Linked DNA regions of Macaca fascicularis. Each later gene encodes a partner of the first gene's protein in a complex. Links are inferred from orthologs where the notes say so. Each region holds a gene or a part of one and is shown on either strand. Other genes may lie near its edges.

The links.
Region 2: GTF2F2 (region 1) and POLR2G share a complex: the UniProt entries of both Homo sapiens proteins name them as parts of the TBP-based Pol II pre-initiation complex. The link is inferred for Macaca fascicularis from reciprocal best matches to the Homo sapiens genes GTF2F2 and POLR2G.
Region 3: GTF2F2 (region 1) and ERCC2 share a complex: the UniProt entries of both Homo sapiens proteins name them as parts of the TBP-based Pol II pre-initiation complex. The link is inferred for Macaca fascicularis from reciprocal best matches to the Homo sapiens genes GTF2F2 and ERCC2.

Annotation. Positions count from the first base shown.
Region 1 is NC_088391.1:24,363,816-24,369,652, reverse strand, and holds the start of GTF2F2 (general transcription factor IIF subunit 2), read right to left. Parts: upstream 3,539-5,837; 5' UTR 3,396-3,538; coding exon 3,330-3,395; intron 1-3,329. UniProt on the Homo sapiens protein: TFIIF is a general transcription initiation factor that binds to RNA polymerase II and helps to recruit it to the initiation complex in collaboration with TFIIB.
Region 2 is NC_088388.1:11,290,582-11,296,449, reverse strand, and holds the start of POLR2G (DNA-directed RNA polymerase II subunit RPB7), read left to right. Parts: upstream 1-1,815; 5' UTR 1,816-1,900; coding exon 1,901-2,169; intron 2,170-3,458; coding exon 3,459-3,618; intron 3,619-5,610; coding exon 5,611-5,661; intron 5,662-5,767; coding exon 5,768-5,833; intron 5,834-5,868. UniProt on the Homo sapiens protein: Core component of RNA polymerase II (Pol II), a DNA-dependent RNA polymerase which synthesizes mRNA precursors and many functional non-coding RNAs using the four ribonucleoside triphosphates as substrates.
Region 3 is NC_088393.1:53,419,209-53,425,345, forward strand, and holds the start of ERCC2 (general transcription and DNA repair factor IIH helicase subunit XPD), read right to left. Parts: upstream 4,054-6,137; 5' UTR 4,021-4,053; coding exon 4,016-4,020; intron 3,814-4,015; exon of another isoform or gene 3,723-3,813; coding exon 3,623-3,722; intron 2,294-3,622; coding exon 2,216-2,293; intron 2,139-2,215; coding exon 2,076-2,138; intron 1,888-2,075; coding exon 1,774-1,887; intron 1-1,773. UniProt on the Homo sapiens protein: ATP-dependent 5'-3' DNA helicase. Component of the general transcription and DNA repair factor IIH (TFIIH) core complex, not absolutely essential for minimal transcription in vitro.

The DNA.
Region 1 (5,837 bases):
ATATTTTGCTTTTTTGGTAAACAATCTACTACTATATTTGTTTTTCCCTAAACACACTATTTATCCCCAGTCTTGCTGGCAAGGTTTTTTTTTTTTTTCCTTTTCAGATAGGGTTTCACTCTGTCGCCCAGCCTAGAGTACAAGGGGTGTGATCTCAACTCACTGCAGCCTCAACCTCCTGGGCTCAAGTGATCCTCCCACCTCAGTCTCCCAAGTAGCTGGGACTACAAGCGTATGCCACCATGCCCAGCTAACTTTTTGTAGTTTTTGTACATAAAAGGTTTTGCTATATTGCCCAGGCTGGTCTCAAATTCCTGGGCTTAAGCAATTCGCCCACCTGGTCCTCCCAAAGTGCTGGGATTCCAGGCATGAGCCACTGCACCCGGCCTTCCATAAGCTCTTCTTGAAAGCTTGTTTGGAGGTTCCAGCAGGGGAGTACAGCCACACATATACCAGTCCTCCTCTATCGGGATGGTCATCCTCTTTGATCAAGGGTGCAGCTTCAGGAGGGACATACATGGAGTGGAGTGGGAGGAAGGGGACACCCACCTAGCCAGCCAGATTAGCCAAATCAACCCTGGTGATCAATGGGGTGACAGATGTCCCAGCCAGATCACACTCACATCCAATTTATTTATTTATTTATTTATTTTTTGAGACAGGGTGTCACTCTAGTTGCCCAGGCAGGAGCGCAGTGGCACAATCTCGACTCACTGCAACCTCCAAACAGGCTCTTCTTAAACATCACCTTCTCTATGATGTCTTTCCAGTTCTGGTGAAGCATTAATTTTTTTCCTGCTCAAAACTCTAAGAGATCTTGTATGTACAGTCCTTACTGCATTTACACAGTTCTGTAACTGGTGATGGAATTAAATATGTACAAGATGACCTTGATATATCCTAGGAAGAAACATTTTTCAGCAACAAAGATCAGAACTCAAGGTATTATTTTTAACAGAAAATATTAATGTAAGGAGAAAAAACTTGAAATCAATACGTAGTTCAAATAAAATTCTGATGAGATGAGAATGAAGACACACTTTCTAAGCAACAAGTTACTACTTCTTTTTTTTTTTTTTTCTGAGATGGAGTTTTTGTTCTGTTGCCCAGGCTGGAGTGCAACGGAGCAATCTCAGCTCACTGCAACCTCCGCCTCCCAGTTTCAAGCAATTCTTCTGCCTTAGTCTCCTGAGTAGCTGGGAATACAGGCGCATGCCACCACAACCGGCTAATTTTGGTATTTTTAGTAGAGATGGGATTTCACCATACTGGCCAGGCTAGTCTCAAACTATTGACCTCATGATCCACCTGTCTCGGCCTCTCAAAGTGTTGGGATTACAGGTGTGAGCCACCGTGCCCGGCCCAATCCTGTGATGATTTTCTAAATGTGACTCTGGTTACTTACCCTCCCCTCTAATTCGTACTGCACACTGCCAAACTTTTTTTTTTCTGAATAAATATTTGGCATCTCTCCCTCACTCAAATCCTCCAAAAAGTTTGTTACTTCCTTGTAAACTAAAGTTAGAACATCTCCGTTTCATGATATGACAATCTGAGTATATGGTCCCAACCTTTATCTACACAGATCTTCTGCTCTAGGTTCTCTCTGTTTTCCACGACACACCATGCTGATTATGTATTCTGAGTCTTGCATTTCTGTTCCATTCCCCATGGTATACGCTATGTCCACCCACCCAAATCCTGTAAGGCGTAAACACTGAGCATTTACCATGCTCCTAGAACAATGGCACCATCTCAAGTCACACCATTTTTTCAAGCTTTTTCCTTCAGTCTGCAAGGGCCATCTCCTCCTTAGTGACTCTCCTCCAGTTAACACGCTGCTGGAGAGAGAAATGCCTATTTAATTCATCCTTTTAAGTCACACTGAGCTTGGAAATAAGTCAAATCAGTGCCACAGATTAAGGCGAGGGTTAAAGAATGAGAGGTCATGCATTTATTCATCACCTTTTTGTTGAGTAATTACCATGTGCCAAACACTATTCTGGGTATGACAGGCAAAGATCCAATCTCATGGAATGTGATTTTGTGTGTTGGAAAGACGGAGGTAACCAACTTTGAACATATTAACACAAAATCACTCTACACTGTGAAAAGTGCTTTGAAGAATGTAACGGCCAGGCGCGGTGGCTCACGCCTGTAATCCCAGCACTTTGGGAGGCCAAGGCGTGCGGATCACGAGGTCAGGAGATCGAGACCATCCTGGCTAACACGGTGAAACCCTGTTTCTACTAAAAATACAAAAAATTAGCCGGGCGTGGGGGCGAGTGCCTGTAGTCCCAGTTATTCGGGAGGCTGAGAGAGGAGAATGGCGTGAACCTGGGAGGCGGAGCTTGCAGTGAGCCAAGATCGCACTACTGCACTCCAGATTGGGCGACAGAGCAAGACTCTGATTCAAAAAAAAAAAAAAGAAAAAAAGAAAAGAAAGAATGTAATACGGATCTGTCGTGTTAGCAAATGATCATAAGGGAGCCATTTTTAAGAAGGCCGACAAGAAAGACCTCTTAGATTTAATTGACGAGAACTCAGCCATATGATAAATCAGTTAAAGCATTAAGAAACCGAAAGTCCTTACATTTTAAGTCTCAACGACTTTCAGGATCACATTTTGAATTTGCTTAAGTATTATGAAACTCCCCTAGGAGAAAACACTCCCCAATATGAAACAGTAAAGCACAAATAGTGCCCGCTGTGAGCCAACCAAAATTGCTGTCTTTACATAAAACATTTATTGACGGCCAGTTTCATCAGACCCAAATGTGCTCTGAAAGAATACTCCAGTCCAATGACCTCTCCTGACCTCTCCTTCTGTTTGTTCAGGGCTCTCTCGCCTCTTTTGAGAGCTTCATTAAGGACCATTTACCTAAGAGAATACTTTAAGAGTACGCAGGGACCAGTTCTAGTTTCTCGCCGAAAAAACTGTACAGAAAGCAGACATTCAACTACCTCACACAGGCTCATGGCTAAAACCAGTTTCACCAAGGGAAAGATACAAGTAATTCTTCGGTCTGGGATAAAATGCACCGCCCAAGTCTAGGAACACCAAGACAGGGCTCCAGGAAAGCCGTGAGAAAGAGATCTAGTCCAGGCTGATTCAGACCAGTAACCGGCTGAAAGACACTTTGCGTCCCTAAACTAATCTCCTCATCTGCAAACAGATACAACAATGACTCATGCCTCTCAAAATATGTGAAGCTCTAACGAGATAGCCGTAAAAGAACTTTAAGAGGTGCACGGAGCGGGATGGGCTCAAGTTACTTAAATTATACTTGTGTTAGGAGGAGCGCAAGTGGGAGACTCGTGAACATTACCTTGACTAGCCACACTCCTGTGTTCTGTTTGGCGCCGGTCAGGTCGAGTTCCCCGCGCTCGGCCATGGGTCTGTTGCCGGTGGACGCGTGTGGCCTACAGCAGCGACACCAGGAGCCGGAGGGCTGAGAAGTGGGCGTCCGGAACAAAGGGCAAGCCGCGCTGAGAGGTGAAGAGGCGGCGTTCCTTACCTGCCAGGACACTGGAAACCGGGGGGAAAGAGGAACACGCCGCCGGTAGCCAGACTGCGCCTGCGCACTGTACGTCCGTACGGCGCGCTGTTGCAGACAAACTTTCTGTTTCGGAAATTCCTTGGGTGGGCGTGGCTGTCAGCGTAGTGTGTATCTGAGGGATTAAAACATAGGGTAAGATGAGCCAAAACGTTAGCAACGTATTTAAAGACATGGCCAGCATAACTGAAGAAAAAGATTATCAGAACGGAAAAACGGGGTTCAAAGAGACAAAAGTTGTCAGAACGTGTCCAACCCTAGCCAAAGAGAGAGAAAGAATATTTGAAGGACAGGCTTAGGTTAGTAAATTGGCATCCCCCCTGGCCAACGTCATTAGCACAAGTGGGCACTGGGATCAGACTTGGTAGCCCTGGGTATATTGAAAACATGCCGTTTCTAGACCTGAAAAGAAAGCCGTGTTTCAGCTCAGAGGCTGCCCGAGCTCCTCTGATTAAGCAAGCAGAGCACCTCATATTCCAAAACCCGAAGGTCTGTGACGAAACGAACAAGTAAGAGACAAAACTGATCGTTTCCTCCCCTGCTTAAAGTTTTCTCTTTCTCTTCTTGCCTCTAGAATAAAATTCAATCCTCCTGCTTCAACTGGGCCCTCTTAATTTCATCCGTTTTCCCCTCCCACCATTACTCCACCATGCACCGAACCACACCAAACCCAGCAGACTTCCCGGAACACGTCAGAATCTTCCTCGGTCATTTCAGAGCCTCTGCACACTGGATTCCCTTCCTTGGAAGCCCTCTTTTACCCCTGCCCTCACTCCCACTCTTTCCTCTGGTTGGCAAACTCCTACTTATGGTTCAAGACCAATGGAAATGTCACTTCTTATGAGATCTTTTATCAACTTCCCCAGAAGAAATTAGTTTTTCTTCACATCACAGTGTGATACTTAGCACTCTGCACTATAATACATATGTTTACATATCTGCCTTTGCTTTCCAGACAACGAACTCCTCCTAGGCAGAAAGAGCTTTATTGAGGTATAATTTACAAATAAAAAATAGTGCTTTATTCATGTTATATCCACAATGTATAGCACAGTGTTTGACACATTGTCAGGTTTCAGCAGGCTTTGGGTGAAAGAACATTCGCTGAAGAGAAACAAACAGTAAGGTATTGTTAAGAAGGGCAAGTAATGTATTGAATCACACATCAGAGCCTTGCACAAAATTGAGGAAATTTTATGTGTGTTCAGCACAGGGCCAGGAAAAGCTGTCAGAACTCTGCGATTAGCTAGCAAAATTAACAGGAAAGATGGGAAGAGACCTGGAGTGTGTCGAAAATGAAAGTTTCAGTGGCTGGACCCTGTAACCCCACCTTTGGGAGGCTGAGGTGGGAGGATTGTGTCTGCCCAGGAGTTCAAGGCTACAGTGAGTCATGATCGTGCCTTGCACTCCAGCCTGGGTGACAGAGCAAGGCCCTGTCTCTGAAAAATAAATACTAAAACCAAAATTTTTTTTGGCCAGCCACAGTGGCTCACGCCTGTAATCCCAACACTTTGGGAGACCGAGATGGGAAGATCACTTGAGGGTAGGAGTTCAAGACCAGCCTGGTTAACATAGCGAGACCCCCATTTCTAAAAAGAAGAAAAAGAAAAAAAAAATTTTAAGCAGAAAATGAAGGTTTCTTCTTGTGCAACAACTTGGAAAAGGGCCTAAAACATATAAAGGGTAAGCAGATGAAGGGAACTGCTCTAAGCTTTACTCAGGTAGAAGGAATAAATTGAAATATGAGACCATGGGAGAAGAGAAGCAGAGTCTAGAGCACCCCAGGAATAAACTTTAAAGATTGGAGCCTTGGCCTTGGTCTCTGGGTCATGGGAGGCCTTAAAATGTGTATGTGGTGTGTGTATGTGTGTGTGCACAGAGATTGGGAGAGAAAAAAATTGTTGATGAAAAGGCTAGAGAAGAAAGGAAAAGTGGAAATTTAAAAATGATTATATAGAAGAAAGAAAAAAACAACTTATTGAGCACCTCTTCCTCATACACTGTTGAACAAAGAGCAAGCTTCCCCTACTGTCCTTTTCAAACAGCTTGAAGAGGGATGTTTACAGAACCGTGAGAGAAAAGGAGGGCATGGCCTCTGTGAACTAAATTCACAGATTTACTGTGGAGGCCCTTAGGGTGATAGATATTACAGCCAGATCCCTCACCTTCCTAAGGACTCATTATATGCCAGATGCTTGGCTAGTTGTTTTTTGTATTATCCCATTTAATCCTTATAACAATTTGCCAGAGTAGATATTATTTTTCCTCAATATAGCCCTA
Region 2 (5,868 bases), on another chromosome or scaffold:
TTCACGCGGTTCTCCTGCCTCAGCCTCCCGAGTAGCTGGGACTACAGGCGCCCGCCACCTTGCCTGGCTATTTTTTTGTATTTTTTAGTAGAGACGGGGTTTCAACGTCTTAGCCAGGATGGTCTCGATCTCCTGACCTTGTGATCCACCCGTTTCGGCCTCCCAAAGTGCTGGGATTACAGGCTTGAGCCACCGCGCCCGGCCCCAATTTTTTGTATTTTTAGTAGAGATGGGGTTTCACTATGTTGGCCAGGCTGGTCTTGAACTTCTGACCTTGTGATTCACATGTAACTTTTTTTTTTTTTGAGAGGGAATCTTGCTCTGTCTCCCAGACTGGAGTGCAGTGGCACGATCTCGGCTCACTGCAACCTCTGCCTCCCGGGTTCAAGCAATTCTCCTGCCCCAGTCTCCCAAGTAGCCGGGATTACAGTCGTGAGCCATGGTGCCGGGGGTATGTAACATTTTTTTAACAGAGGATGAAATAGTCATGGATTTCCTGCACTCCAGCCTGGGTGACACAGCGAGACTCCCTCTCAAAAAAAAGAAAGTGAATTAATCTATAATCTGAGAACAGAAGTTGTAAACTATATGTGACTCACAGTCATATCTCTCTCGAGGCTTAAAATATTTTTTGGGATTGCAATAGCTTTTAAATTTTTTCTTTCTCTCTCTCTCTTTCTTTCGTTCTTTCTTAGTGTTGCTCTGTTGCCAGGCTGGAGTGCAGTGGCGCGATCTCAGCTCACCGCAGCCTCCGCCCCCCGGGTTCAAGCGATTTTCCTGCCTCAGCCTCCTGAGTAGCTGGGACTACAGGCACATGCCACCACGCCCGGCTAATTTTTTGTATTTTTAGTAGAGTCGAGGTTTCGCCGTGTTAGCAAGGATGGTCTCAATCTCCTGACCCCATGATCTGCCCGCCTCCGCCTTCCAAAGTGCTGGGATTACAGGCGTAAACCACTGCGCTCAGCCTAAATTTCATTATTTTCTGTAGTTTCCTGGCCTTTCGACTAAGGCTCATGTAAATTTTTTGTTATTTCTACACCAATTTCTGTAGATTATTATGAGAATTAAGGGAGATAATTATATAAAGGGCTTAACACAGTGTCTGGCATTTAGGAAGAAAGCAGTAAGTGGTAGCTATTATTTATTATTATTTTTTGTGATGGAGTTTCGCTTTTGTTGCCCAGGCTGGAGTGCAGTGGCCTCCCAGGTTCAAGCAATTCAGAGAGTTGCTGGCCGGGCACAGTGGCTCACGCCTGTAATTCCAGCACTTTTGGAGGCCGAGGTGGGTGGATCACCTAAGGTTGGGAGTTTGAGACTAGCCTGACCAACATGGAGAAACCCCATCTCTACTAAAAACACAAAATTGGCCGGGCGCTGTGACTCACGCCTGTAATTCCAGCACTTTGGGAGGCTGAGGAGGGCGGATCACAAGGTCAGGATATCAAGACCAGCCTGGCTAACCCGGTGAAACCCCGTCACTACTAAAAATACAAAAAATTAGCCGGGCGCGGTGGTGGGCGCCTGTAGTCCCAACTACTGGGGAGGCTGAGGCAGGAGAATGGCCCGAACCCGGGAGGCGGAGCTTGCAGTGAGCCGAGATCGCGCCACTGCACTCCAGCCTGGGAGACGGAGCCAGATCCGTCTCAAAACAAAAAAAAGAGAGTTGTGGTTTGATGGCCGGTGGGGGGGCGGGGCGGTGGTGAGGGGCGGGGCTTAGTGGTTCACGCCCACGGCTACAAGGCCCAATCAGACCCGTGGAGCAGGTGGAGTTCCGCCCTCGCTGAGGAGGTGGAGTTCCGCTCTCAACGACGCAGCAGGCGCGGAACTGGGGTTGCGGCGGCTAAGTGTGTTTCCGGTAGATTCCCAGGGGCGGTCGGAGGTGTGGACTGTTCCTGCCTTCATGCTCTGGGAAGATGTTCTACCATGTGAGCAGGGCCCAGGGTGGCGGCAAGGGCTGGGTGGAAAGGAGGAGCAAGGCCAGGCGCCGGCGCGAGGCTCCCCTTGTCGTCTGATAAGCTCCCAGCGCGTGGCCTGGTCGCCATCCCTCTTTTCTCCGCAGATCTCCCTAGAGCACGAAATCCTGCTGCACCCGCGCTACTTCGGCCCCAACTTGCTCAACACGGTGAAGCAGAAGCTCTTCACCGAAGTGGAGGGGACCTGCACAGGGAAGTGAGTGCCGAGCTCACCGTGCCGCCAGATCGTTCGATGCGCACACGGGTCGCTATACCTGCAAACCCTCCGCAACTCCTATTTAGTCCTGCCACCCACTCTAGGGACCCCGCTCACCCTCTCAGGCAGCCAGTTGCTTCCTGCTTTGGGTTCCCAGGGCGCCCTCTGCAATGCTGGACAATAAGACTTCCTTCCCTCAGCTGAGATTGGTCATTCATTCATTTACTCCTCAGACATTTTAAAAACACTTGGTGTGTGCCAGGACCCGTGTTGGGCTCAGAACAAGGTAGAATGGGAACAAGATAGAATGAGGCCAGCTCTTGTGGAGCTCACAGTGTAGTCATTGTTCCTGTGTCTCCTCTCACTCTGTCATTCTGCTGGTTTTCTCTTATCCCCTGTGTCCAGGGACCACACACCGTGGGCCTCTATATATCTTCTGAATGGATGACCAGAAAAAGTGGATCGAAAGTTTGGGGGAGGAAGGAAGTAGACTGGGACTTGACCATCTCTGGGCTTTGCACTGAGGGCCTTCTGTGATATTAATGAGCTGGGACCCAGCCCAGGGCAGTGGAGTACTTGGGCCTCCAGCATCAGAAAAACCTGCAGGAACATGCAGATTCCTGAGCCTCCTTATTCCCTACAGAATCAAGACTCTGTGAGGCAGACCTGAGAATCTGCATTTTAAGAAGATGATTCTCAGGCATCCCGAAGATTGAGATCTGTTTCCTCAAGGACTCCAGCCTTCTTGTACATTTACTGTGAAATTACCAGAACAGCATTTGGTCTTATACATACTGATCTGTGTTCTTTTTTTTTTTTTTTTTTTTTTGAGACGGAGTCTCGCTCTGTGGCCCAGGCTGGAGTGCAGTGGCCTGATCTCAGCTCACCGCAAGCTCCGCCTCCCGGGTTCAGGCCATTCTCCTGCCTCAGCTTCCCGAGTAGCTGGGACTACAGGCGCCTGCCACCTCGCCTGGCTAGTTTTTTGTATTTTTTAGTAGAGACGGGGTTTCACCGGGTTAGCCAGGATGGTCTCGATCTCCTGACGTCGTGATCCGCCCGTCTCGGCCTCCCAAAGTGCTGGGATTACAGGCTTGAGCCACCGCGCCCAGCCCATACTGATCTGTGTTCTGTCTTCTCTTGGTCATTAAGCTCTCTGGGAGCAGAGGTGCTATCTACTTGTCCTTTTGCTCTCCCCGACACTACTCCCAAGAGCTCAGTGACTTTTATTGCAGATGTCTCTAGAGGCTCTTGGACACACAATGTCTTTCTGTTTCTCATCCTCCTTGCAGGTATGGCTTTGTAATTGCTGTCACCACCATTGACAATATTGGTGCTGGTGTGATCCAGCCAGGCCGAGGCTTTGTCCTTTATCCAGTTAAGTACAAGGCCATTGTTTTCCGGCCCTTTAAAGGGGAGGTCGTGGATGCTGTTGTAACTCAGGTCAACAAGGTGAGACCATACGTAGGGGAGGCATTGGGGTAGTCTCTCAGTAGATCTGGGTTGGGTCCTGGCTCCACTTCATAACTGTGCCTTCAGCTAAGTCACTTTACTTCTTTTTTTTTTTTTGAGACGGAGTGTTGCTCTGTCGCCCAGGCTGGAGTGCAGTGGTGCCATCTTGGCTCACTGAAACCTCTGCCTTCTGGGTTCCAGTGAGTCTCTTGCCTCGGCCTCCCAAGTAGTTGGGACTAAAGGCAGGTGCCACCATTGCCGGCTAAGTTTTTGTATTTTTTTAGTAGAGATAGGGTTTTGCCATGTTGCCCAGGCTGATCTCGAACTCCTGAGCTCAATCTGCCTTCCTCGGCCTCCCAAAGCGCTAGGATTACAGGTGTGAGCTACCACGCCTAGCCATCACTTTACTTCTTGTGCTGCACTTTCAAATTGTATGGTAATCTTCCCTGCCCAACTCAGAGGGCAAGAGTCAACATTAATAGTCATAACAATAAAAGCCTGTGTTGATTGAGTAGTGACTGTGGGCCAGGTGAAGTGCAGAGACTCACAATGACTAAAAGGTGGGTGCTTTCCTTTTTTTTTTTTTTTTAAGATGGAGTTTAGCTCTGTCGCCAGACTGGAGTGCAGTGGCACAATCTTGGCTCACTACAACCTCCGCCTCTGGGTTCAAGTGATTCTCCTGCCTCAGCCTCCCAGGTAGCTGGGACTATAGGCATGCGCCACCACGCTCAGCTAATTTTTGTATTTTTAGTAGAGATGAGGTTTCTCCATGTTGGTCAGGCTGGTCTCAAACTCCTGACCTCAGGTGATCTGCCTGCCTCAGCCACCGAAAGTGCTGGGATTGTAGGCGTGAGCCACTGCCCCCGGCCAGTGGGTGCTTTTTACAGAAGCTGAAGCTTAGAAGAAGTTAAGTGTATTGGCCAAGATCATGTGGCCAACAGGTGTTCAAATCTTGGACTAACAGGCCTAAGCTCTTTAATACTTTAAAATGAAAGGTTAGGCTGGGCATGGTGGCTCACATCTGTAATCCCAGCACTTTGGGAGGCTGAGGTGGGCAGATCACCTGAGGTTGGGAGTTCAAGACCAGCCTGGCCAATATGATGAAACCCTATCTCTACTAAAAATACAAAAATTAGCCAGGCATCGTGGCATGTGCATGTAGTCCCAGCTACTCGGGAGGCTGAGGCATGAGAATCACTTGAACGTGGGAGGTGGAGGTTGCAGTGAGTTGAAATTGCACCACTGCACTCCAGAGTGAACAACAGAGCGAGATTCTGTCTCAAAATAAATACATAAATAAATACAAATGAAAGCTTAAAAAAAAAGAGAAGAGGGCTGGGTGTGCTGGCTTACACCTATAATCCCAGTGCTTTGGGAGGCAGAAGTGGGAAGATTGCTTGAGCCTAGGAGTTTGAGACCAGCCTGGGCAACATAGCAAGACTCTGTCTCTACAAAAAGTTTTAAAAAATTAGCCTAGCATGGTGGTGTGCACCTGTGGTCTCAGCTACTTGGAAGGCTGAGGTGGGAGGATTGCTTGAGCCCAGGAATTCAAAGGTACAGTGAGCTGTGATTACACCACTGCTTTCCAACCTGGGCAACAGTGAGAACCTGTCTCAAAATTTAGAAAGCAAAAAACAAAAACACAACACTTGAGGGGACAAAGAAAAGCAAGATCACTCTTTTTTTTTTTTTGAGACGGAGTCTTGCTCTGTTGCCAGGCTGGAGTACAATGGCGAGATCTGGCTCACTGCAACCTCCGCCTCCCGGGTTCAAACGATTCTCCTGCCTCAGTCTCTTGAGTAGCTGGGATTACAGGTGCGCTACCACACCCAGCTAATTTTTGTATTTTTAGCAGAGACAAGGTTTCACCATGTTGGTCAGGCTGGTCTTGAACTTGTGACCTCATGATCCACCCGCCTCGGCCCCCCAAAGTGCTGGGATTATAGGCATAAGCCACCGTGCATGACCATAAGATCACTCATTTTTTTCTAGGTTGGACTCTTCACAGAAATTGGACCCATGTCTTGCTTCATCTCTCGACATGTAAGTCTAGGCACACTGGGTGGGGCTGAGGAAGAGAGATACCCATTCATTACCATCTACTGAAGCATCCTTTTAAAGTGCTACCCTAATCTCACTTTCCTTTCAGTCCATCCCTTCAGAGATGGAGTTTGATCCTAACTCCAACCCACCATGTTACAAGACAATGGATGAGGTAAGTGGACAGAAAGAAGTCAGGAAGAGGAAGAG
Region 3 (6,137 bases), on another chromosome or scaffold:
AAAAAACTAGCTGGGCGTGGTGGAGTGCGCCTGTAATCCCAGCTACTCAGGAAGCTGAGGCAGAAGAATCGCTTGTACCTGAGAGGTGGAGGTTGTGGTGAACCGAGATCACGCCACTGCACTCCAGCCTGGGCAACAAGAGTGAAACTCCATCTCAAAAAAAATAAATAAATAAGGCTGGGCACGATGGCTCATGCCTGCAATCCCAGCACTTTGGGAGGCCAAGGTGGGCGGATCACGAGATCAGGAGTTAGAGACCAGCCTGACCAACATGGTGAAACATCAGCCTTCCAAAGTGCTGGGATTATAGGCGTGAGCCACCATGCCCAGCCAAGTACAATGGTTTTATAGCATAATTTAATAACAATTAACATTGTATTTGTCATATATTATGTATATAAATATCATGACAATTTTTTTTTTTTTTAAGACAGTCTCACTCTGTCCCCCAGGCTGGAGTGCAGTAGTGTGACCTCAGCTCACTGCAACCTCTGCCTCCCGTGTACAAGCGACTGGGATTACCGACACGTACGCCACCACCCCTGGCTAATTTCTGTATTTTTAGTAGAAATGGGGTTTTGCGCCGGGCGCGGTGGCTCACGCCTGTAATCCCAGCACTTTGGGAGGCCGAGACGGGCGGATCACGAGGTCAGGAGATCGAGACCATCCTGGCTAACACGGTGAAACCCTGTCTCTACTAAAAAATACAAAAAAAAAACTAGCCGGGCGTGGTGGCGGGCGCCTATAGTCCCAGCTACTCGGGAGGCTGAGGCAGGAGAATGGCGTGAACCCGGGAGGCGGAGCTTGCAGTGAGCTGAGATCCGGCCACTGCACTCCAGCCTGGGCGACAGAGCGAGACTCTGTCTCAAAAAAAAAAAAAAAAAAAAAAAAAGAAATGGGGTTTTGCCGTGTTGGCCAGGATGGTCTCGAACTCCTGACCTCAAATGATCTGCCCACCTCAGACTCCCAAAGTGCTGGGACTATAGATGTGAACCACCGCACCCGGCCTACCATGAGAAATTTTTTTTTTTTTTTTTTTTTTTGAGACAGAGTCTCGCTCCGTCGCCCAGGCTGGAGTGCAGTGGTGTGATCTTAGCTCACTGCAAGCTTCACCTCCCGAATTCACGCCATTCTCCTGCCTCAGCTCCCGAGTAGCTGGGACTACAGGCGCCCACCACCATGCCCAGCTAATTTTTTGTATATTTTAGTAGAGATGGGGTTTCACCATGTTAGCCAGGATGGTCTCGATCTCCTGACCTTGTGATCCACCCGCCTCGGCCTCCCAAAGTGCTGGGATTACAGGCGTGAGCCACCGTGCCCAGCCGTGAATTTCTAACATTCTTTTAGTTCTCTGTACATGCTAAGGGCATCGGCTGCATCATTTCATCCAATTTTATCATCAGCGACCTTATGAGGCAGGCACATAATTATCCCCATTTTACAGAAAGGAAGACTGAGGCCCAGGCAGCAGAAAACGCCTCTCCATAAATACCCGGCTGGTAAGTTTCAGAGCCAGGAAACCAGGTCTTCCAGAGACTCTAAGAGCTGCCTTTTTAACCTCTCCCAGGCCTGGGTAGAATTGGAAGACTCCCTGAGGAGGTGTGCTTGCCTGGGCCACGATGAATGAGAATTTGACCAGTGAGATGGGAATTCTGTGTGCAGCCACTGCATGCCTTTGCAAGAGGTCCAGCCTGGGGATCCAGGACTTGCAGTTGGACGAAAGAGTTTCCTCTACCTCTGGGCTAAGGGCAAGGAGAAGGGACGGGTGCTCACCTCAGGGTGAATACACAAGTTTTTGCGGGAGCTCAGAGCCAGCCCCAGAAATGGCAGCTTCTCGCCCTCCTGCTTCTCATAGAAGTTGAGCAACTTTCGAAGCTCTTCGATCACCTACTCCAAAGTTGGGGGGGGCAGGGGGAGCTTGTGTTCATTGGAGGCACAAACCCCTGCCCTGCCAGGCCCCAGCCTCTTCCCGAGCTTCCCAGACACCCCCGAAAGCTGGTGATGGCCACCACCAGGGGGACCAATAGGGCCTAGGGAACAGTGGAGCTGGAGCACCAGGATGAGTCCGGGCTCACCTTCTCAATCTCCGGCACAGTTCTTGAGCAGTAGATGAGTTTGGTCACCTCCAGCGGATATGCCTGCCGATAACAAGTGGACTCAGTCCCTGTCCTATCCCTTCTTTTGTCTGCCTTTACGGGTTCAATGCATCACTCACCCGCTGGTATGCCATGATCAGGGCCAACAGGGACACTGTCTTCCCAGTGCCTGAGGGCATCTCCAGGACTCCATGACCCTGCATGTTGGGAACCAGAGGGACAACACACAGGGTCTCAGAACCTCGGGCACACAAACTCTGGGGACTCTCCCCGACCTCCAATGCCACCAACTTGGAACAGCAGGATAACACAGCAGCAGTTAAAATTGGGCAGTGGGGTTCAAATCCACTTCTGCCTCCTCCTTGTTGAGTGGTCTTAGGTGAGTACCTTCACCTCCCCAGACCTCAGTATCCCTACCTCTAAAATGGGCCTAAGGCCGGGCATGGTGGCTCACGCCTGTAATCCCAGCACTTTGAGAGGTCGAGGCAGGTGGATCACCTGAGGTCAGGAGTTCGAGACCAGCCCGGCCAATATGGTGAAACCCCTTCTCTACTAAAAATACAAAAAATTAGCCGGAAGTGGTGGCGTGCACCTGTGATTTTGTCTCAAAAATAAATAAATAAAATAAAATGGGCCTAATAATAAAACCTTCCTCATAACATGACTGTGAAGATTAGTGAGAAATTGCACATTAAATATTTAGCACAGTAGCTGATATATAGTGAACTTTTCTCCCTTCTTTTTTCAGAGACAGGTCTCACTCTGTTGCCCAGACTGGAATGCAACAGCACAATCATGGCTCACTGCAGCCTCCAACTCCTGGCCTCAAGCGATCCTCCTGCCTCAACCTCCCAAGCAGTGGGGACTACAGGCAAGCACCACCACACCCAGCTAATTTTCTAATTTTTTGTAGAGATAGGATCTTGCTGTGTTGCCCAAGTTGGTCTCCAATACCTGGCCCCAAGTGATCTTCCCGCCTCCACCTCCCACCAAAGTGCTGGGATTACAGGCACGAACCACCGCGCCCAGCCTATTGACCATTATTATTTATTTTTGAGACCGAGTCTCACTCTGTCGCCCAGGCTGGAGTGCAATGTGGCACTCTGTCGCCCAGGCTGGAGTGCAATGGCGCCACGTCGGCTAGCTGCAACCTCTGCTTCTCGGGTTCAAGCGATTCTCCTGCCTCAGCCTTCTGAGTAGCTGGGATTACAGGCGCCCGCCACCACACCTGGCTAATTTTTGTATTTTTAGAAGAGACGGGGTTTCACCACGTTGGCCAGGCTGGTCTCGATCTCCTGACCTCAAGTGATCCGCCCTCCTCGGCCTCCCAAAGCGCTGGGATTACAGGCGCGAGCCACCGCGCCCAGCCTATTCACCATTATTATTTTAGATAACGGAAGATTATGGGGTCCTGGATTTCCAAGGACCTCCTACTTCTAAAATCCAGACGTCCTGCAATCTGTCTTAGGCTCAGGCGTGGCAGCCCCACCGGTCGAGTGGGCGGGTCGGGCCCACCGGCCACCCACCTTGGCGTCCAGCGTGCGTTTGAGCTCCCGCATGTAGGAGAACTGCTCGGGGTAGATGTAGTCGTAAGGGAAGTAGACCAGGAGCCCGTCCACGTTGAGCCTGGCGGCAGCGGCTGCTGGGTCAATCCCCGTCCCCTCAGCCCCTCTCCCGCCTCCACACTGCCCGGTCGTCGGGCCCAGAAGGGTGACCTGCCCGGCGCCCCTGGTAACCCTCAGGTCCTCAGGAGCCTCAGTGCCTCCTCGCTATCACCGCTGTTCCCTGCGGCTGCCCCCTCCCCACCCCTTCACCCTCCCCTGGCCCCACTGGGGACCCAGGCACGCCCACCGGTGACCCCATCTTCAAGACACCCCCGCGCCCGCTCGCGAGCCGCGACCCCCCGGCCCCCTTCTCACTTCATGGCGCCTGCCGGAGTGTGCAGTGGCGTCCACCCGCCTCCCTCATGAATATTTAGCGAGAGGCCGGGTCGTGGACATCCTCAAGAGCTCGCTCCACCTATATTACAAGACCATTGGCTGATCTGCCCGTCAATCCGCTAGGGCAGAGCCAATCGGGATACTGCGCGTGCGCACGGATAAGCGAGGGCTGCTGACTCTCGGGAGAGGCGGTGCGGGAGGCGTCACTGAGGATCGTCGAGGGCCAATCAAAAAGAAAACATGGAAGGGAGAGATCCGAGAGAATCGATCTCATTCGCTAGAATTTGGTCCTCCTGCGCCTGCCAAGATTGAGTATTGATCGAACCCAGGAGTTCGAGATCAGCTTGAGCAAGATAGCGAGAACCCCCGCCCCTCCACCTGGTCTCAAACAAACAAACAAAAAAAATTCGTCTCAGTAGCGAATAGAGATTCTAACGGAGAATGACAGGGACACTGGTGATCCTTTCTGGGCCCGAGAGTTAGAAATGGCTTTGCAGCACCAAAAATGCATTTATAAAATACCTGCTGTAAAACAAAAAAAGTAATACAAATAATTTTTAAATAACATAAAATAAAAACAAATGAATGAAAACAAAGCAAAATAAAATAATATACATGGTCAAAATGATATAAAATACAGGATGTATCCCAGACTTCTGTGGTATAAATAACTTATAAACAGCTCTTCCTATTTATTGAGCACCTACTTTTTGCCAAATACTGTGATAGGTGTTTTAATAAGGGAATAACGAAAAGGCAGTGTGGTTTAGTGGCTAAGTTGTGGGCTCTGGAACCAAAATTCCTGGGTTCATAATCCTGGCTTCACTTTTGTTGCCCAGGCTGGAGTGCAATGGCATGATCTCAGCTCACTCAAACCTCCACCTCCCAGGTTCAAGCAATTCTCCTGCCTCAGCCTACAGATTAGCTGGGATTACAGGCACACCACCACACCTGGCCAGTTTTTGTATTTTTTTTAGTAGAGATGGGGTTTCACCATGTTGACCAGGATAGTCTTGATCTCTTGACCTCGTGATTCGCCCGCCTTGGCCTCCCAAAGTGCTGGGATTACAGGTGTGAGCCACCACACCTGGCCTGGGGTTACACTTTTGTATCTGCAAAGTAGTTAACAATCAGACTATCTACAATGCTACATTGTAGCATTACAATAATCTAATTGTTAATTAGAGACTATTACTATTGTTAATTACATATTACTATTGTAGATAGTCTGTTAATTAGGTGAGTTAATTTCAGATCACATAAAGCAGTTAAAACTGGGTTTAGCACATACTAAGCATTCAATAAATGCTAGTTTTGGCTGGGCATGATGGCTTACACCTGTAATCCCAACATTTTAGGAGGCCGAGGTGGGTGGATCACCTGAGGTCAGGAGTTCGAGACCAGCCTGACCAACATGGAGAAACCCCGTCTCTACTAAAAATACAAAATTAGCCAGGCATGTTGGCATGTGCCTGCAATCCCAGCTACTCGGGAGGCTGAAGCAGGAGAATTGCTTGAACCTGGGAGGGAAAGGTTGCAGTGAGCCGAGATGGCGCCATTGCACTCCAGCCTGGGCAACAAAAGCAAAACTCCATTTCAAATAATAATAATAAAATAAAACATAAATGCTAGTTTTTGTTTCTTCAACAAATAGCTATGTGACATCTACCATGTGCCTGATCCTGTGCTGGCCCCTGGGAACAGAAAGGTGACCATGACAGCCTCAGCAACTGCCCTCAAAGAACAGATTTTTTTCTCTTTTTTTTCTCGAGACAGGGTCTTGCTCTGTCGCCGAAGCTGGAGTGAAGTGGCACAGTTACAGCTCACTGCAGCCTCCACTTCTTGGGCTCAAGTGATCCTCCCACCTCAGCCTCCTGAGTAGCTAGGACCACAGGTGTGCACTACCAAGCCCAGCTAATTTTTATTTTTTTAATTTTTTTAGGAACAAGGTCTCACCACGTTGCCCAGGCTGGTTAAACTCTCGGGTTCAAGTGATCCTCTCCCCTCAGCCTTTCAAATTGTTGGGATTACAGGGGTGAGGCACCAGGCCTGGCCTCAAAGAACAGATATAAACATACAAATAAATATATGATTACAGCCT